Canis lupus familiaris: one gene and its partners. The main gene of each other region encodes a partner of the protein of the gene in region 2 in a complex. Links are inferred from orthologs where the notes say so. Each region holds a gene or a part of one and is shown on either strand. Other genes may lie near its edges. The genes, in order: NMU, NMUR2 and GNAI1.

Region 1 (7,432 bases), on a different chromosome or scaffold from region 2:
GGAATGGAGAGGAATGGAAGGGGAGGGCACGATTTGATGGAAAAGAACAGAACCAGAGGCAGGTACGGATGCAAAGGGAAAACACAAAGATTTCCACTCTTTCGATTCAGTCTTTACCAGCATGTACTTCTGATTTCTCCACTCACTATACCACTGTTCATTTCTCTTTGACAGGTGCTCCTGTTTAAAGAATACAATTTTATACTCTTTTTTTTTTGTTTTAAATTTTATTTATTTGAGATAGAGAGAGAACATGAGCAGGGGGAGAGGGGGAGGGAGAAGCAGGCTCCCCTCTGAGCAGGGAGCCCAACACAGGTTCATGACCTGAGCCAAAAGCAGATGCTTAACCAACTGAGCCACCCAGACACCTCACAATTTTATATTCTTTCTTCACCTGCCTGTCTCCCACCCTTCGGTAAAAGTGGAAGCTCCCAGCTCCATGCTGCCTCCCGGTGAGCTTGCCTCCTTCCACATCCCAAGCTTGCATGGGCCACACAGAAATTGCCATGATATCTTACTCCCAAGCACTTATATAATCAAAAAGGGGTACTTTGTGGTTCTTACACAACACATGTAAACAGTCTCAGGGTAAAAAGGTTAGAGGAGCCAAAATTTCAAAATGTTTTTAATTTATAGAAACTCCGAGTACCAGACCCAAATGTAAAAAGGAAATATTTTTCTTCCCTTTGTGTACTTGTTAACCAAAGTTGATGTGATTTTTTCCCCCAAGATACCCTAGGTATGGGCTTTATATAGTCAAATAGTAGTACTAGATACTTTTTTTTTTTAATTTATGATAGTCTCACAGAGAGAGAGAGAGAGAGAGAGAGAGAGAGGCAGAGACACAGGCAGAGGGAAAAGCAGGCTCCATGCACCGGGAGCCCGATGTGGGATTCGATCCTGGGTCTCCAGGATTGCGCCCTGGGCCAAAGGCAGGCGCCAAACCGCTGCGCCACCCAGGGATCCCTAGATATTTTCTTAAGTATAGTCAAAGTGTCGTTATCTCGTAGATTACAAAAACTGCACTGTTTTTGATCAGCTTTAAGATACTTATATACTGTCTAGTAAAGTGAAACCTTTAGTCTTATAGTGTACAGTCTAACTAATGCAAATAATACGGATAGACAACTTTTGCATCTGCAAATACACCATCTGTTAGAGAAAGAAGAACTGACCTTTAGATTGGGGTATAACCAACATACATTATGCTAGTTGCAGCTGCACAACATAACAATCCTAAATTTCCTAAATTTGTATATATTGTGAAATGATCACCACAATAAGTCTCATTAACATCTATCACCAACGTAGTTACAGAGGTTTTTTTTCTTGTGATGAGAACTTTTAAGATTCACTCTTAGCAGCTTTCAAATACACCATGTAGTCACCATGCTTTACATTACATCCTCATGGCTTATTTATTTTATAAATGGAAGTTTGTACCTTTTGACTCCCTTTACGCATTTCAAACTTCCACCTCCTACCTCTGTGAACCCCTATTCTGTTCTCTGTATCCACATGCTTGGTTTGATTTTGTTTTGCTGGGGTTTTTTAGATTGCATGTACAAGTCAGATCATATAGTACCTGTCTCTCTCTGAAAAACAGAGATAATTACTTTTCTTAAAGATTTTATTTATTTATTCATGAGAGACACACACACAGAGGCAGACACAGGCAGAGGGAGAAGCAGGCTCCATGCAGGGAGCCCAATGCTGGTGGGGGGGGGGGGAGGACCCAATCTGGGATTCCAGGATCACACCCTCAGCCAAAGGCAGACACTCAACCGCTCAACTGCAGAGCCACCCAGGCATCCCCAGACTTAATTATTCTAAAAGTGGTGCTAATTTTCTTTCCTTGTTGCTAGCACTTAGCTAGTGTAGGGTTCCAAAGTGAGAAATTGTTACTACTGACTGAATTTTAAGACATAGTCAATGAGCAGGAGTCTGAATTTTAAGACATATTCAAAGAGCAAGGGTCTGAGTAGGAAAAAACCCTTCTTAATTTAGTCTTGGGCACTTTGATCACTTACTGTCACAAGCCAAATCAAGGTTTGTTGCAGTTATCCAAAATGTTCCCTCTTTTAGAAAATTTCTTTCTTTATTTTAATGATGCTCTTTGAATCGTAAACTGTTTCCATCCACCAGACTTGTGACTGGCTCTTTATCTTGCTGTTGCATGCTCTGCTAACTCATTTTGCCAAGGATGCTCCACTTTTTGACACTATTTTATTTTCCTACGGCTTTGTGATATTTGTTTTGTTGTTTTTAGATACATCCAGTTACATCCTGCATAATGATTAATCTTCATAGATTATCTCCCAGTTTTGATTATGTATGTCATGCTTCCCTTCCAATGCCATTTTTAGGGACTCAGGACTAGGGAAGATCATACTATGTTCACTCATTCCCCTCTCCCTCACATCTTTAGAGAGATAAAATTATTTTTTTCAATATCAAGAGCAGGTCTAAAGGGGAAAAAGATACAAAATGATAGTCTAGGGGGTTTCTGTGCAGTGGAAAAGGCATCTTGTCTGTTTGCTTGAGAAATACTGGGGATGTTTATGAGATGATTGGTCAGCCAGCAGAAACATTCTTTCTCAACATAAAACCCAAGACTTGTCTTTTGCGATGAATGGATAAAGAAGATGTGGTTTATGTATACAATGGAATATTACTCAGCTATTAGAAATGACAAATACCCACCATTTGCTTCAACGTGGATGGAACTGGAGGGTATTATGCTGAGTGAAGTAAGTCAGTCGGAGAAGGACAAACATTATATGTTCTCATTCATTTGGGGAATATAAATAATAGTGAAAGGGAAAATAAGGGAAGGGGGAAGAAATGTGTGGGAAATATCAGAAAGGGAGACAGAACGTAAAGACTGCTAACTCTGGGAAACGAACTAGGGGTGGTAGAAGGGGAGGAGGGCGGGGGGTGGGAGTGAATGGGTGACGGGCACTGGGTGTTATTCTGTATGTTAGTAAATTGAACACCAATAAAAAAAAAAAAAAAAGACTTGTCTTTTGCCAAAAAAAAAAAAAAGGCCTTCTACAGTTTCTGCTTAATCACCAGCAGCCTGAAAATTCCCCCATTTCTCAAAAAAGCAGTTATCTCCCACCGATCCAAATATCACTGTAATCATATAGCATGTAACATGTATAGCAGGTACATTTGCTTTACAGAGAAAAGGACACTTTTAAAACTATAATCATCTGCTTCTTTAACAAGGTAGATAAAGACTGCCACCCTAATTCTACCAAAAACAAATTAAAAACATTAAAATATTAACACTACCTTGCATAGGTTATGCTGTAGCATTGCTGGCTATGTGATGGAGAAGGTTTAGGTCTAGCTTCGGACTGCTAACATTCCATAGCCAAATGACCTCATTTTGCAAGCAGGAGAGCTCCTCCCCACCTCCTTCTCCAATACCCCCAGGAAAGGGGCCAAAAAACCAAAAATGATAAAAGGACAGCAATAAAAATAAATATATTGGAAAAGAATAGCTTCAGTTTCTCCACCTCTAATTGAAGGCTGGCCTGCAAGCTCTGAAAGGCCCCTGCAGTTACGGTTTCAAGTCCCCAGTGCTCTCAACAGTGATGACATGGTCTGCGCACCTCTGCCTCACCGCCAGGAGGGCAGAGGGAAGCTAAGGGAACCTGCTGTGGAGTTAGAAGATTCAGTCTTGGCAGGATAGTGGCTGGCCCTGGAGGGGACTCTGGATCAGAGGTGGGGGGCAAAGGATGGATCCCTCCAGGTAATCTTTGGGGAATAGGGGAGTGATCTCCCCGCTGGAACATACTGGGCTTCCTTCTACCTCGTCTCCCAAGCTGCAGACATCCCTCCCTGACCTCGATTTTGCTTTTTCCAGTTCTTTTCTCTGAGCCAAGCACTGGAAATCCCTATTTTATCAGATGGCATCTGCCTTCACTGGCTTTCGCTGCGGCACTGATTGAAAGCCCGGCTGGCGCACTTGCCTCTCCAACTCTGTGATACAAAGAAAGTCTCCGTTCTTTTTCCTGACCTGGTGCGTCAGAACCTAGAAAGGCACCGAGCGCACCCCCGTCCCCTTCTAAAGGGCCAGAAGGGGGCCTGTTTCGTCGCTCGGGGTGATCTGAACGCAACAGGAGCTCACTCCCTAAAGGAGAGCGGCGCTCTCCCGAGTTCACCGGCAGCAGCGCCAGGTGATCGGCAGGTGTCAAAGTCCAGTTCGGCTTTAGCCATCAATCCGGCTAGTCATTGCCACGAAAGGGAACGCACTTTAATTTTCGGCATGTTCGTTCGTTCAAGTTTTCCCGGGTCCGCGGGCCACGGACGTCCCGCGCGTGAGGGAGCCCAGCCAGGTGCGCGGGACCTGCGGGGCTGGGGGCCGGTGCGCGGCGCCGCGCGAGGGTCGTCAGAGGCGGGAAGCCGGGGAGCCCCCCCCCCCCCCCCAAGCCGACAGCAGAAAGGGAGGAAGAGAGCGAGGCAGGTGGCCCGGGGAAGGCGCCAGGACGGCGGGCGCGGGCGCTCACCTGGGCAGGTGCCCGCACAGCAGGCGAGCAGCAGCAGCAGCAGCAGCGGCGGCGGCGGGGGCGGCGCGGGCATCTCGGCCGCTGCGGGCATCTCGGGGCTCAGCGCGGCACGCGGGGCCCTGGCAGTGCCTCCGGGTCCCGGACGCGCGGCTCGCGGGGCTCCGCCGCCAAGTTTTAAATCTGGCGGACACGTGGGCTGGGGCGGCGCGGTCCCCACGCGCGTCAGCTCGCCGCCCACGCCCCCGGGCTCCGTCGCGTCACTCGCGACCCGCCGCCCGCCCCCGGCCCCCACCCGCGGCGGGACCCGCCCCCGGCCACTGTCGTGACTCAGGGCGCCTCTCGCTCCGGCCGCCCCGGGGCTCGGGGATGAGCCTGGAAACGACCCAGTGCACGTCCGTTCCCTGCTCGGAGAGGGTCTGGGCGGGGGCTGGAGAAGGAGCGCGAGCCCGGAGGCCCGAAGGGGCCGGGATCGGGGTTCTTACGCGGGGTGGGGGGGGGTCCTGGGACGCCCCTGGCGCACCTCTCGGGAAGGCCTCCTCTGCCGCACCCACTGTGCGCACCTCCACCTCCGCAGAAGCACCTCTGTCCCGCTCTTTCCTTCGTCCCCAGCTCCCAGCTCAAGCCCGGTGCGTACCGGAGTACCAGTGGTGACCCTGGTGTTCCCCCAATTCCTGCAAGATCTGAGATCATTTAGGGAAATGCAGTTATCTGTTGAAGAAGCTCGAGGAGAAAGGATTGCTGGGATTTGACCACACATACATTTCCAATAGGTCTGGAAGGTCTCTGGCTATCCTATGTGTTCCCAAGGTTGCTCGTTTTTCCATGCGTTTCTCCCGCGGTCCCTCCCCCTAGCTGTTGCTTTCTGATTTCTAGGGTGATGGGAACTCTGCCATCCCCCTCCATACTTTCCTTTACTTCCTAAGTGGAAATGTCCAGGAAGCAGCCTCTCTAGGACACTGGCTGATACTGTTTTAATTTCCTTCTACTGAAAGAGGGAAGACTGAGCTCATTTGACCTCCTTACGAAAGCAACACAGAGGAAAGGGTAGAAAGGAAGTACATTAACATTTCCTAAGGGACATCTTCCCCTGCTATTTAATTTAACACTCATGTCATCTCTGGAAGGTAAAACTATTATGACGCTTATTTGATGATACTGATGATACTTGGAGATTAAATTGTCTGCCCAAGGATATCAGCCTGTGGGAGAGACCCCTCTGCGAAGACCTTTCTTCTCTAAGCTGGGGATTTTAATGCACTAGAAATGCACTGTGCAAAGCACTATAGGCAAAGTGGGGCCTTAAAGACTAGAATCTTTAGTAACAGGAGGAATTTCCCTAAAGGAAATTAGAACTTGGTGAAGGGCCCCAAATCCATACTGAAATAGCTGTCTTACAAGGCAAGTGCTCATCCTGACAGGTAATAAGAAAAAAATAGTCACTCCTGTTTTTAAGTTTTCATGCAGCATATGAGCAAGGCCGGATGACAGTCATGGTCCAAACCAGGAATCAAGGATGGATGAGAATAGATTTGATCAGTATTGCTTAAGCTTTGATTTATTCCCAAAGTAGTAAAAAGGTAGTGCAGAGGATTTTGATGGGTGGAGGTGGCCCTGATTCCCAATTGCCTTCCTGTATTTCCTGGAGGTGCACTGAAGGATGTCTAGCTTCAGCAGCTTGTGTGGGGTGAGATGTCAGTGAGAACAGAGAAGCCTGCAAATAGTGGCCTCAAGGCTTTTTATACCCCAGCAGGTCAGCAAAAGAAACAACTCATGCATTGCAAGTATTTTTTTCTGCATGAACCTGGTGGCTCTGAATGTCCTTGTACATGTCCCTTGGTGCACATGTGCAGGAGTTTTCAGAGGTCTGTACTTGGAAGTAGAGTTATCATGGGAGAAAAATCTCATTAAACTCTACTTTAAATTGTTTTCCGATGTGTTATACCAATCTCCACACCACCAACAATGCATGAAATTTCCATTGCTGCACATCCTTGCAGAAAGCTTTGCCAGTCTGGTGGGTGTGGCATCTCATTATGGATTTAATTTACAATTTCCAGCATTAATAATAAGGGTGAGTATCTTTTCACAAATATATTCGCCATTGCTGTTTTCGCAACAGTGAAATGCCCATTTGTTTCTTGCCCCCATTGGGTTGTTAGGCTTTTTATTTTTTTTAACCCATTATAGGAATGCTTTATGTATTCCAGAACTTTTATTAGTTAAATGTTTGGCAAATATTTTCTCCTCACTTATGGCTTGTGTTCTACTCTCTGTATATGAGTTATTTTTGAAAAAATTGCTTAAGAAAAGATGTGCCGACTAATGGTCATGCTGTTGTGTGACTTGGATGATAAGAGAAGATGGATGGGAGAATGAGGGAAGATAGGCACTTTAGTTACCCATAAGCAGACTATGGATTCCACAACTGACTGAATGAAGCTGATTCCAGAGGTCCCCTTTTGTCCAAATATTTCAAGGAAATTAGATCCCAGATTTCTGCAGGGGAGGCTTAACAATTCTCTTACAAACATTGCAATCTGTACCTAGAAGTTCTTATTTATTTATTTATTTATTTATTTATTTATTTATTTATATTTCTAAGTGATTATTTATTTATTTATTTATTCATGAGAGACACAGAGAAAGAGGCAGAGACATAGGCTGAGGGAGAAGCAGGCTCCCTGTGGGGAGCCTGATGCGGTACTTAATCCCAGGACCCCAGGGATCGATCATACCCTGAGCCAAAGGCAGATACTCAGCCACGGAGCTCCCCAAGTGTCCCCATGTTCATTTAAACTGAGTTTGTGGGCAGCCCCGGTGGCCCAGCGGTTTAGCACCACTTTCAGCCCGGGCTGATCCTGGGGACCTGGGATCAAGTCCCATGTCGGGCTCCCTGCATGGAGTCTGCTTCTCCT
Region 2 (5,891 bases):
TAATGGTGTTATTGGGCATCTATTCTACAAATCAATCATGTATATTATAGAAAGATGGCAGATTGCCAGTGTATTGATGGTTAGTGGTGTGCTGATAAGATGGCTCTGGAGGGGGGTGGTAAGAACCCTGATGTAAAATATTTGCCAACTTCTGGTGGTATAAATATTCCCACTGTGGCCGATTTCAGGTTACCAATCATATAACACCAGGCTCTCAAAATTCCTAAATATGTAAAAATAAACTTTTGGAGGCCAGTCTGAGCCAGCATCAGCACAACACTGAGCCACTAATACTTATAAATGCTAGATTCTTGGGATCCCTGGGTGGCTCAGCGGTTGAGCATCTGCCTTCAGCCCAGGGCATGATCCTGGAGTCCTGGTATCAAGTCCCATATCGGACTCCCTGCATGGAGCCTGCTTCTCCCTCTGCCTTTGTCTCTGTTTCTCCCTGTGTCTCTCATGAGTAAATAAATAAAATCTTTAACAAAAAAACACCAGACTCTTATGTTGGAATAATGATACTTTTAAATTCTCCTGCAATGCCTTCATCCAACTATAACTCATCCATTAAGACAGCATCTTTATGTTAGACTGTTAAGGATACTTTACAATAGTAATTATAATAATTTAAGTCATAGACTACTTTGAGAAGCTAATCAAAACTATAAGCTTTCTTGACAAAAAAGTACACACTAAGAGTTACGAACACAATTTCAGGAGATTCTTGGACTTCCTGACACATGTTCATGAGTCTCAGATTAAGGATCTTGGCTGTCGGGCAGCCCCAGTGGCGCGGCCGTTTAGCGCCGCCTGCAACCTGGGGTGTGATCCTGGAGACCTGGGATGGAGTCCCACGTCAGGTTCCTGTGGGGGGCCTGCTTCTCACTTCTGCCTGTGTCTCTGCCTGTGTCTCTGCCTGTGTCTCTGCCTCTCTCTCTCTCTCTCTCTCTCTCTGTGTCTCTATGAATAAATAAACAAAATCTTAAAAAAAAAAAGAATCTTGGCTGTCTTTATGGACTAGACAATTAATTTGGCAAACAACATTCTGAATGTCTTCAGTTCACTAAATTCATGAAATACCAGAGACCTCAAAAGTCACTGTTTAATTGCAAGAGTTAAATTACCAATATGTTATTAATCATGTTTACTGGCCTCTTCTGTCATTATTCCAAAATGCAGAGATCACAAGGAATTCACAAGGAGATGATGAAGTCAGCTATTGAGCAGCATTGAGCAATTTAGTTTTTATTTTTCTCTTTGTTCTACTAATTGTATGTGAACCATTACATCAGCTCTTAGACTTGTGACATTTCAATTTTCATTTTGAAATATGTTTCCTATATGTGTATATATGCATGTGTATATGAATATGTATATAGACAAAATATCAACACTTAACTCCTTTTCCCCTTCTTAAATGCTAGGCTTAATTAAATCTATTGCCCTTGACTTGAACAACACCTTTTTTTATATAGTAGTATAGCACTTGTATTTGTATTTTGTAGCACACTTCACACACATACACACACACACATACATACAGAAATAATTTCTTCTACAAAATGTAAACTCTCAAGGCCAGAAAATTCATAACCTGGCATAATGCACATAACCTATGGGTACTAAGTGATTTATCAAAGAAATAATTAATGAGCAAATAATTCTTATATACATTTTTGAGAGAAAAAAGGTAAATAAAGAGAAAACAGATCAAAATTATAATCAAACAGCAAAATTACTAGCTTCAATTTTAGTGTTCTTTTTCTATGCATTCACCTACAATAGCAGCATATTTAGTTGTGGTCACTGGGAGTTGATGTTAAGGCAGGTGACCTTATTAGATCTTAATTTGAGCATGCTTCTAAAAGGTGAGAAGGAAATTAATTTCTCCTCCATTTCTGAGGTTTTATTTTGTTGAGTCCTTTCAACATGATCTTCAAATGACTCAAGGATTCTGCTCACCAACATAAACCATCACTGGAGGACTCTAATTCATTCAAGTTGGCTTATAATTAGCAAAGAGATTTAAAAATACATACATTGAATCACCTTGAATATGATTGTTCGGTTAGGAAATAATGATGTCAGGGACCAATATCCCCATTTATCAATAGGATGGCTCATTCAATTTAGGGAAAATTCAGAGACTAAAAACTGGAACTTGTAGTTTTAGCATCAGTAAGTATCTGGGATTGGGAAGAGCCTTCTTGTACCACAGGCACTGCAGACATGCTATTATAATCACAACTGGCTAAACAGCCAACTGAAAGTCAAATATCCCTATCAGAAACACAACCTTAGTCTTTTGGCTTTTACTGCAGTTCCATTTGGAGCTGTTCTTTGGCTCAGCACATTGGAATGTGAAGTCAACTCACTTACCACATATTTATTGAACATCTACCATTGTGACAGATATATTGCCAGGATTCCAGCAACAGGAAAAATGAATACAAGATACTTCATGCCTTTGACAAATTTACATTCTGACAAAACAAGTATATAAATCTCTGAAATACAAAGCGGAGTGAGAAAAAGCTTAAGAGAGAGACTGACAGGTCAGATACCACATCTATTTGAATAAGTCAAGCAGGGTTTTATGGAGGTACCACACTGAGATCGATTGAAGCATGGGTAGGAGAGCAACAGATGGGGCCTGGAGATGAAGAGGGCATTTTCTAATCAAATATGTACAGCTGAGATAACTGGGGCACATTTTCATTAGAAGAGCAAGTAACCCATTTTGAATAGAATATATATTCCATGTGATGCTGTAGTAGAAGATGAGTCTGGAAAGTTGATTTTTCTTATACGTGTGAAGACTGGTATATAGATAATGAAGGATTAAGTAAGTGAAAGTCATGGGTTTGAGACCAGTAGTTGCTATTTAGCTTAGGTTTTTTCCCAACATAGTTTTTTCCTCCAGATACCTCTGTTTATTAAGACTTTAGGAATGCATGTCTAGACCAAACTATGAGAGCAATTAAGTTCACATGCTTGGAATAGTTTGTCTCTATTGACCTTCCACACATAACCTTCTCCCTCTTCCCATTCTTGTCTAAGTAGAACTTGTATCTGATCCCATTTTTGGTAAGGGATGACTGAGAATGACTTGGGGATCAGAAAGGTGGGAATAATAGTTCTATAAAGCATCCCCATATTATCAGGAGGACTCTTCAAGTAAGGCTTCAAAACTTTAATGAATCACATTATAATGACAAAATATGAGGCAATAGGGTAAATAGTTTTCTGTGGAAGAACATTGACATGGATACCTCAAATTATGTAAAGTAGTATAAGCATCTACATGGCTTCTTTTTATGTCACACAGGGGCCACTGGTTGTGAGAGTTACAGCCTAACTCAGAGTGTGAATGACTCAGGATAAATGATTTCCAAAAGTGAAAATTACTCAAAGTACAGGTGTCATATTTTATAGGTCATGATTATTTTTTCTTTCCATGAACAAGTAAAGGGGCATGAGGCAGTTAACCCAGTTCTGGGTTTCAGATCCAGATTTAGTAGCGATTTGTTTTAAAAAAAACCCACACAAAATAGAAATGGGTATATAAATTCTAAGACTCATTTCACCTCCCTTCTATCCTATAAGGAGGCATAAATTAAGGGTGTCCCTCCCTATGGGATGGTGGCATAGAGGAATGTTAACTCTTTGAGCATTCCTTTTATGGTGCCTCTCCACTACAGAGTGTTGTGGGGAGGGGAGAGCTGCTGATGGACAACTGACAAGGGAACTGGGGACCTGCATCTTCAGTCAGCTCCACAAGGTGACATTCTGTCAGGAAGATGTTCCGCTGGGCAGGTGGCCCCTGTGGGTGGTGCTGGGAGTGCCCCTGTTTGCAAGAAGGAGAGATCACATTCCTGAATGCTGCCCGGAAGCGGCGAGAGAGTAGGTTATAGATAATGGGGTTGACGGCTGAGCTCAGGTAGAAGAAGACACCTGGAACACAGGAGATTAAAAAAAGAGACACACTGAGGAGAAACTGAGTGAGAGGTATGATAGAGAGAAGTATAAATATTTAACAAGGGCCTCGAATCCCTGAGACTGCCTCTTTTGGAAGTAATAATATATACAAGACTCTAATTGAGAATACAAAATGCTCTGAACAGATCTACCACCTGTGTATTTAGGAATCAAACACAGAAAGATTAAAGAGTCTCAGAAAAATTTAGGCTGGCATGGGATCTCTCTGAGATGCTTGGCAATTTCCTTTGATCCCCACTTGTTTAATTAAAGAACATGCTCTCATAGCATTAATGAGAGATGCTTAAGTATCAGAGGAAAGAGAGATTGTTTTTATCTCATTGGAGCTTTGCTTAAATCTATAATTTGAAACTGCAAGTGATGGAGGAATAGCAAATCAGTTAAGGCATAGTCTCTGCTGAGATTTCTTATAATGCTAACTATCTCTTCAATAAAATATTCCCCAGGGCCCTTTTCCTACCTGGCCTTTCCCCTTGATGGCTCTTCCCACCTTCCAACTTCATTAAATAATTGTATTTTGCCATTCGTTTTCTCCACCAAATGCCTTGCACACTGCCATTTCCTTGTTTTATACACACTTCTTTTATTACTATATCCTGTTTTATTTCCCCAAGGCCCAAGATGGGCCTAAGGTTGAGAATCAGAAGACTTAGTTTCTGATCTTGTCCCTTGCTTGTTCTGTGACAGAGGGAACTGGCACTTCAATTCTTTTCTCTGCAACATACCATCCCAACCTACCTCTCTGAATTACTGTGAGGATAAAGTTGAGATGCTATCACAGAGGGACTGAGAATGGCTAAGAATATAAAACAAGTGATAGGTACTGTTAACAACATTCATTGTTGTCCTCATTTACATAGTTCAGGACATACAGAGTGCCATATGCCCTATGCACAGAATTGGGCAGGGAGGAATACAAGAGAAGAATATTGCTATAGACTGTTAATTCATTCAATAAATTCTTATTTTGTGCCAGAAGCTTTGAGGCACATTGGTAGATAGTAGATTTAGACTTCGTTCTCAAGAACATGGAATAGTATTATAGAGGAAAAATCTATGCCTAAATTTAGTAGTTAACAAAAGAACAATACCAAACTGTATCTATTAAGAGCGAAACATATGATACTAACTGTCACCCTATGGAAATTCACATAATAGCATAAACACAAGGACTATAATAATCATGAAGGATTTAATTAGGTGATTGAACACTAGCCAGATCCTGAAGCGGGCAGGAGATAGTTGGAGAGGAAAGGAGAGAATACTACAGGTAGAAGGTATAGCCTGAGCAAATGCGCAAAAGTAGGAATGGTTATTATCATGCAGGATTAATGCAAAAAGTGCAGCACTCTAATTAACCCATTTGACAAGTGTATGGTTTATGAATGGAAAAATATAACTTGAGGATGAAAAGGCAATTTTGGGGTTTTTAAAAAATTTTGTAGCATTTAAGACATTTAGACTTCATCTGGTTGGCAATGTGGGGAAGAGAGAGAAATTTTAACAGGAAAATGTTAATATAAATGCTGTAGTTTAAAAATCTTAAAATGGTTGTCTTGATACATCTCAAGATGTAGAGTCAACTGGTCAAGTCTCATGTGATCTTGTGATATTTTACAATTTGTTTTATCACTTCCACTTTTCTCAGCTTAATCACAAAGTTAAGCTAAGAGCTGTAAATATTTTTGAGGTTAATAATTAATTAATAATTAATTTTACAGGGAAGAAAATACTAATGTCCGGGTGTAAACTGTTTACATGGCCTGCTGAGTACAAAAGAGAGGGTGATTGGAAACAGATAATATACATGGCATTCAATATGCCTATGAACAGTAGTTTTTGCTTTATGCACTCCTGAAGCTTAACACATGCAGGTCGTCCTTCTTTCTCTT
Region 3 (6,878 bases), on a different chromosome or scaffold from region 2:
AATATGTATTCTTAAATTACAATGCCTTATTGCCTCCTCTTGAATTTAATTCTGATCATACAAAATACTAAGCGAAACCGAAATTTTACATCAGCTGTTAAAATGAAAGAACGAATTACAATACAAAACACGAAAACGAGAAACACAGGAACTCCTGCAGAATCATTCTAAGTCTCCTTCTGCCCTCGTTCTCCCCAGCTCCGTGCATTTTCTCCTCAGACTGTATTTGTTAAAGCCATTAGCTGAACATAACAATATAAGCTTGCTTTTAAAATAGGGTGTTTAAAAAAAGAGTAAACAAAAAGCAAAAAAAAAAAAAATCAGAATCTAAGTAAAAACAAACAAAAAAACCCCCAAAACTTTGAAGCCTCATTCTGACAGTGAAGTTTCCTTAAAATTATAACTTTAAGATAAATGTAATAATAATAGTTCCCAGATCAGACCTATCAGACTATTTAAATATTAATGTTTTACTATTCCCCACTTTGGTCATTTAATATCCTAGAAGTACTGAACAGATTAAAAGAAAGTAAATGATTTTGGTAAGAGCTACTGCCAGCCAAAGAATGTCCACTGCCAGCTTACAAACTGGCGAAAACAGAAAGGAATTAAAAGGAGATGAAAAAGTTGATCATGTATTTAAGTACAAAGTTACATGGTCAGATAAACTATGAATTGTAATTCTGTTTTTTAAAAAAAGCAGGCAATGTTTTTTTTGGGGGAGGGTGGAGGGAAGCTGCTATGGAAAATTAAAATTCAATTTTGGTTTTCTGGAAAATCAATTACAGGAACCACTGATAAATTAGTGGGATAAATTAGTGACTAATGATAATAAACATATTTAAAATACTTATAGAAGAGGGGCATCTGGGGGGCTCAGTCAGGTCAGCCTCTGACTTGATTTCAGCTTGGGTCGTGATCTCAGGGTTGGGAGATCAAGACCGATGCCAGGCTCCATCCTGGGCATTGAGCCTACTTAAGACTCTCTCCCCCTCCTCCTTTCCCATGTCCTCAGGTGCACGCATGCTCTTGCTCTGTCTCTCTCTCTCCTAAAAAATAAGATACTTATAGAAGGAATCAGAAGTACATTTGCATCAGTATAGTTGCATATATGTAACTGTACTTCCCACGACTTGTAACAGTGACCTTCAAGAATATTTTCATCTTTGACTAGGAAACTTTAGGTGCTTTCAGAAATTCTGCTTCATTAAAACTGTTTCAGAGCATTAGGGCTATCTGAAGCACAGTCCAATAACTTTTTTCATACTTTAAAAAAGAGGAACATAGGTCTGAAAATTAATGTTTCACTAAACTTCCCTGAGTCTCATTCATTATGAAATGAGTGTATTGGACAAAACAAGTTCTGAGATCCCTTGCATTTCTACAGGCTACAATTCAGTACTTCTCTGCTCAAACTTCATTAAGTTAGTATTTAGCATACTCTAAATGACATTTTTCATCATGAAAAAGTGCAAACATTTGAATGAATAAAAACTTTTAAAAGGTACCCTTCATTTTTACCATTTCCATAAATAAGCATATGTACAATCAGTAAAATTCTAAGAATACATGTTAACACTTTCTCCAAATATGCAATATCAGAGCAATATTTTCTATTTAGAAATAAAAGCTAAAAATTATTTTTATTTAAATCACTTTGAAAATATAAACAAGAGATTTGCATGTTCATTTTTTCTTAAATAAAAATTAAATATTCCTAAGAATGTTTCCTGTCCTTCTTCATCCAAAATATTGTCTGTCTAATCACCTTTCTTTACTGAACAAGGTATTTTATACCTAAATTTGTAAATGATATGCTTTAAAGCTACTTACTTAAAATGGAGATCTTTGAAAGTAAAATGGGTTTCGACAATTCCTGTTGTTTTCACTCTGGTTCTGAGAACATCCTGCTGAGTTGGGATATAATTTGGTTGTGCTATTCTGTCCAAGTCATTCAAATAGCTGAAGAAATAAATAAAATAATAGTTAATATAGCCCTTAAAGATCATCTACATCAAGAAGTAAAACATTTTGATGCATGCAATATCATAAATCAATGGAAATTTTTATATTTCTGTGTAATGATGTAAAAATACAACCAATTTAAGTTTATATGTTATACAATTCCCACTGAAATGAAAATGTATACTTCTCCAGCCACAAAGCCCTTTTAACATTTTCTAAGTACTGTGTACTTTGTTTCCTAAGGACACGAATTAGTAATTCTCCTTGTTAGAAACAAAACAGAATAATTTCTTAAAAACCACACACAACCAATTGTACACTAGGAGTCAGCTTCTTAAAAGTCTTTATTACACTTTTTTTAAGTAGCATGTATTTCTTTTCTGGACATTACTCTTGTTGAGGAGTTACAAAGACTGAAGTTTTTGAGAAAGTAATGAGTAGATCTCCAGCCAAAGGCTAAATTCAATACTATTCTTTTTCAGCCAGCTTTAAGTTACAAATAGGAAAACACTACGCACGCTCTTTTACTCTGCATTTTACTGGTTCTCTAAATAAATATTCATATTTGGGGATCCCTAGGTGGCTCAGCGGTTTAGTGCCTGCATTTGGCCCAGGGCGCAATCCTGGAGTCCCGGGATCGAGTCCCACGTCAGGCTCCCTGCATGGAGCCTGCTTCTCCCTCCTGCTGTGTCTCTGCTCTCTATGTCTATCATAAATAAATAAATATTTAAAAAAATATATTCATATTTTACTTCTCACTGGTTTTAGCCACCCACCCGTTCAATACTCTTTGCCAACAATGTCAAATATGTTATGCTACTAAAATGCAGTGGTGTCATACCATGCGATTATTTTTGTAAATTATTCTGTGTCATTTTATATAGTAAATAATGTTATAGAAAGTCCAGGTATGAAGAGAGTAATGTGAACCTGAGTGGTGAAAGAAGCCTTCATGGGTGGGGAGGGTTGTAAACAGAAATCTGAATGATGAGGGATGTGAACAGAAAAAAAGAATGCAATCCAGATCAGGAGAGTAGTCAAACAGTATGAGGAGGCAGGAATTGTCAGATCTTGCTTCTCACAAAGTAAGGCCCCCAGGAAGTTGTGCATAAACTCAAATGAGAAGTCTGGAATTGATTCTAAATGGGAAGCTTCCCAACAGTGTTTTCTGATACTAGAGTGCAGTGGTCAAAGATAATTTAGAAGATTCACATCTGTGTTTATTACAGAGGCACCAACTACTACAACTTTAATGGACGTTATCTTCTGAAACTGTTCCTTAGCCATTTAGAACAGATCTTACAAACAAAAGGAGCTCAATAAATATTTGATTTGTAGAGATGGAGTTGAAAAGCTATCGAAACACTGAATTAGTAATCAACAGTGTTTTAGACAGTTAAGTATATGTATGTGATATTGATACCAGAATTCATAGAGCATACCTGGAGTTATCTGCATTGTATTTATTGAACTTAAAATAATCTTATTATCACATTGCTGATAATCCCCTAGTACTCTGTGTTTTTAATTCCACATATATAATGATATACAGTATTGTAAAAAAAAAAATCTAATAAACACATGGCAATATTTTACGAATTGTCCCTCTGAAATAGTGTGTTAATCTTATTTAAAATGCACTTTGATTACTCCCATACATTTATTTGCTTAAAAATGCTACTCAATAGTCTCTAAAAATAATGCACATTCATATTTCAATAACACAAATTAATCCGGCATTGGGAAAAACTCCAATTATTTAAAATGATCATGAATTTCAAGTAAATTGGTAGTTAGATAGTCCCAGTGGGCAACTTGGCAACATCTCCCATCTCTAGCCCAAAACTCAGAAATCAAGAGGCTCTGTGACCACTATGGAGAAAAAGATTTCTAGGACTTCCTTCATTCTTGAAAAGTGGCTCCCTTGTTGCCATCGTGAAGTCAGAACTACTAGTAATGAAATACTGGGGAACCAAAATGACTTATTTTTCCAGTGCATACCCCGATACTTGAGCACACGGGACAAGTCTTGGTCATTAGACTGCAGTGGTCCAGGAAGTCCCATCATACAGGGAAAGTGACTTCAACCGATCATCTCTGAGAAGGACCCCTTAATTACTGCAAAAGCTCCCCTAGCTGGGCTCTACTCAGAGCAATCTTCTCAACATGAGTGATTCCCATTTAGCTCTTTCTGCAGGAGCTGGTGGTGCCAAAGCAAATAATATGGTCTAAGAATCGTGTTCTTCCTGTAAATCATTTTCTTCTAATTTCTCTTCGAGCTTCTGTAAAGTATGGTTTATTCATTCACTCATTATTAAACAAGAGCATAGCAAATGACAACTGTGTGTCATGGAGAAAGCACACAGGGTGAAAACAGACCGCACTGAATTTACAGTGTAGTGGCAGAGACAGAAAATCATTTCAACACAAATAAAAATTACCTCAAATGTAAATCTGTGAGTGCTCTGAAAGAAATATTTTGTATTTTAAGTATGTAAGACAGGGAGGCAAAGACCTATCTGTGAGTCAAGGCATATATCCTAAGAAAAGATGACACCAGTTGGAGAGGGGAGCTACATATTCAGTAACATGTTACATATACATATAGAAAATACATACAAAATAATATGTATATATTATATAGCTTACATAGTCATAAAGCATTAGAAATACAGATTAGGGGTCGCCTGGGTGGCTCAGTGGTTGAGCCTTCAGCTCAGGGCGTGATCCCAGGGTTCCTAGGATCAAGTTCCACATCGGGCTCCCTGCAGGGAGCCTGCTTCTAACCTCTGCCTCTGTCTCTGTCTCTCCAAAGAATAAATAAATGAAATCTTAAAAAAAATATATAGAATAGGAAATACTAATAAAAATTGGTATGGGTTACACAGTAAGGTGTATTTACTCCCTCACACTAAATCACAGAACAGAAACTGAGTATTCTTATGTGTAGCCAATGACCTGCTGAGTGATAATTGGGGAGAGCCGTAACCTATTTCTCACTGTGGTGAAATGGGTGTATTTACCTAGTCCTCTCTAGTAACCATCATCTTCTCTCTCACCCTCATTTGTGTCCCTGAACACCAGTAGCTGTCAAGAAAATGGAATAAAGTAAAAGGAGCACAGAGCACATGTATTAAGACCAGTTAATGCTACTCATATCTGACATTTTTGACTGTGTCTGCTAGATTATGGAAACAAACACTTGATTTTTTAATTTTTATTTATTTTTTTTACTGTAGCTAGATCACCAAGCAGAAAGCTCCCTGACCAGGTTTTGCTTTATGAACTCTCAGTGGCCACCACTTAGAAAATCAGGGCAGGTTTTTCTTACAAAATACTGTACTTAGCTATCTGTAAATGATATCTAATGCAACAGAGCACATACAATTGACAATTTTCAAGCGTAGAGATATTTTACTCAATGAGGAAACATCTTGGGATCACCATACACCCCTCTAAAAGAGGTACATCTCATGCAGGGTGCCTGTCACTGGACAAATAATTCTTCTCAGGCACTTTTAAGTTTAGTGAAAAGAACCAAATCAGCTCCCCTCCCCTTGGGCTGGCCCCACACAAACTTGAGATACGCTCAAATTCAGGGTGAACTTTGCAAAGTTCCAGTTTACTTTCTTGGAAATATGCTGCCAACAGTCTATTCTGAATGTTTCAATTAGAGTTACATAAGGGTGAGTCTCTTGAGACACCTCCGAACACAAAGGAAATAACAGCAATGCTATCTACAAACACACCAAAAAATCCAGAAAAGTTTTCAAATACTGTCATCCTGAATATCCTGAGTTTTACAAGAAATGTGTCAGCCAGTTCTGCAATAGCACTGACTTGGAGGTATATTTGACTTGCAAGAAATTATTCATGATAGTTTAGTTCTGAAGTCATGATTACTTACTATGCTGCAGAGTCATTAAGCTGGTACTCTCGGGATCTGTTGAAACAGGCTTGCACGCCACTATCTTTCCACAATCTCTTTATAACTCCAGCAAGTTCTGCAGTCATAAAACCTTCTTCAGCAGCTCCAGCAAGCACAAAGAGTTGGCGGGCATCATCCTGAACATTCAAAGACCATTTTTTTTTTAATAAGTAAAAAAGGGAGACATTACAGATTAAAAGTACAGAGGGAGGCATTCTAGATTACGAAAAGTGCAATCATGCATTTCCTTTGTTTTTCATTGGGGTCATGGCTTTTAGTTCTCTGAAGCACCACTTAAAAAAATGGCTTAACCAAAAGAGCATAACCTTAAATCGCAGGTCTATGTTTTGTAATATTAGTAATAAGCGGTCAAGGCTCCAGGAAACTAGAAGAATGACTTACACCTACAGGTCATGAGGGGACACATTAACCAGCTATTTGCTATCACTGACGGTTTATTGTGCACTCATCAGTTTTACAAACAGAGAACTAATGTATGCCTTACCCCTCCCACCCAAAATGTTTCTAAGAAACACACTAACATTGCTAGAGATTATTTTAAGGGAGAATCTCATTAAATGTTGGCTTTCTGATATTCTCTATGGAAGCAAAAGAAATTCAGAGAGGGAGAAATCAATGTGGAATAAACGATAATAGCTTTACAGAATGATCTGAAATTTTCAGGAGACCTTAAGATGTGTATACATTAAAGCCAAGGGGCAGGAGGTGGGAGCAGGTGTTTGTTAATGCAGGCAGAGGATACAAACACAGCTATGAAGTAGAAATACTCATGATGCATATTGAAGACAGCATGCAAAATATTTTAAATGAAGGAATGATGCATATAAAGTTATTAAATTTTCCTTAAGTTTTGAGACTACAAATACTTATTCTGATCCATAGGTAACCAACCACAGTAGGTGAGCACTTCCAAAGGAGTTGTGACAAGGATGCAATTCTAAATTTTCTACTAGCCATATTTTTT

Evidence for each region.
Region 1: the proteins of NMUR2 (region 2) and NMU are in contact, whole or in part, in a cryo-EM structure (PDB 7XK8), measured with the Homo sapiens proteins. The link is inferred for Canis lupus familiaris from reciprocal best matches to the Homo sapiens genes NMUR2 and NMU. Residues at the interface, in NP_064552.3 of Homo sapiens: Ser42, His43, Gly98, Glu102, Glu105, Met106, Trp107, Arg108, Asn109, Tyr110, Pro111, Thr123, Phe126, Glu127, Asn181, His185, Pro199, Ser201, Thr203, Cys204, Val206, Tyr213, Phe284, Arg288, Phe291, Glu295, Trp297, Ser298, Glu299, Ala302; in NP_006672.1 of Homo sapiens: Glu146, Phe152, Ala153, Ser154, Gln155, Gly158, Tyr159, Phe160, Leu161, Phe162, Arg163, Pro164, Arg165, Asn166.
Region 3: the proteins of NMUR2 (region 2) and GNAI1 are in contact, whole or in part, in a cryo-EM structure (PDB 7XK8), measured with the Homo sapiens proteins. The link is inferred for Canis lupus familiaris from reciprocal best matches to the Homo sapiens genes NMUR2 and GNAI1. Residues at the interface, in NP_064552.3 of Homo sapiens: Thr78, Thr80, Glu143, Arg144, Ala147, Ile148, Pro151, Phe152, Ala154, Leu156, Met239, Leu243, Gln259, Cys262, Arg263, Val266, Leu330, Ser331, Arg333; in NP_002060.4 of Homo sapiens: Glu28, Ala31, Arg32, Leu194, Ile343, Ile344, Lys345, Asn347, Leu348, Lys349, Asp350, Cys351, Gly352, Leu353, Phe354.

What each region holds. Positions count from the first base shown.
Region 1 is NC_049234.1:48,651,683-48,659,114, forward strand, and holds the start of NMU (neuromedin-U), read right to left. Parts: upstream 4,638-7,432; 5' UTR 4,609-4,637; coding exon 4,518-4,608; intron 1-4,517.
Region 2 is NC_049225.1:57,870,711-57,876,601, reverse strand, and holds the end of NMUR2 (neuromedin-U receptor 2), read right to left. Parts: intron 3,955-5,891; coding exon 3,680-3,954; 3' UTR 1,992-3,679; downstream 1-1,991. UniProt on the Homo sapiens protein: Receptor for the neuromedin-U and neuromedin-S neuropeptides.
Region 3 is NC_049239.1:20,212,846-20,219,723, reverse strand, and holds part of GNAI1 (guanine nucleotide-binding protein G(i) subunit alpha-1), read right to left. Parts: intron 6,031-6,878; coding exon 5,873-6,030; intron 1,963-5,872; coding exon 1,834-1,962; intron 1-1,833. UniProt on the Homo sapiens protein: Guanine nucleotide-binding proteins (G proteins) function as transducers downstream of G protein-coupled receptors (GPCRs) in numerous signaling cascades.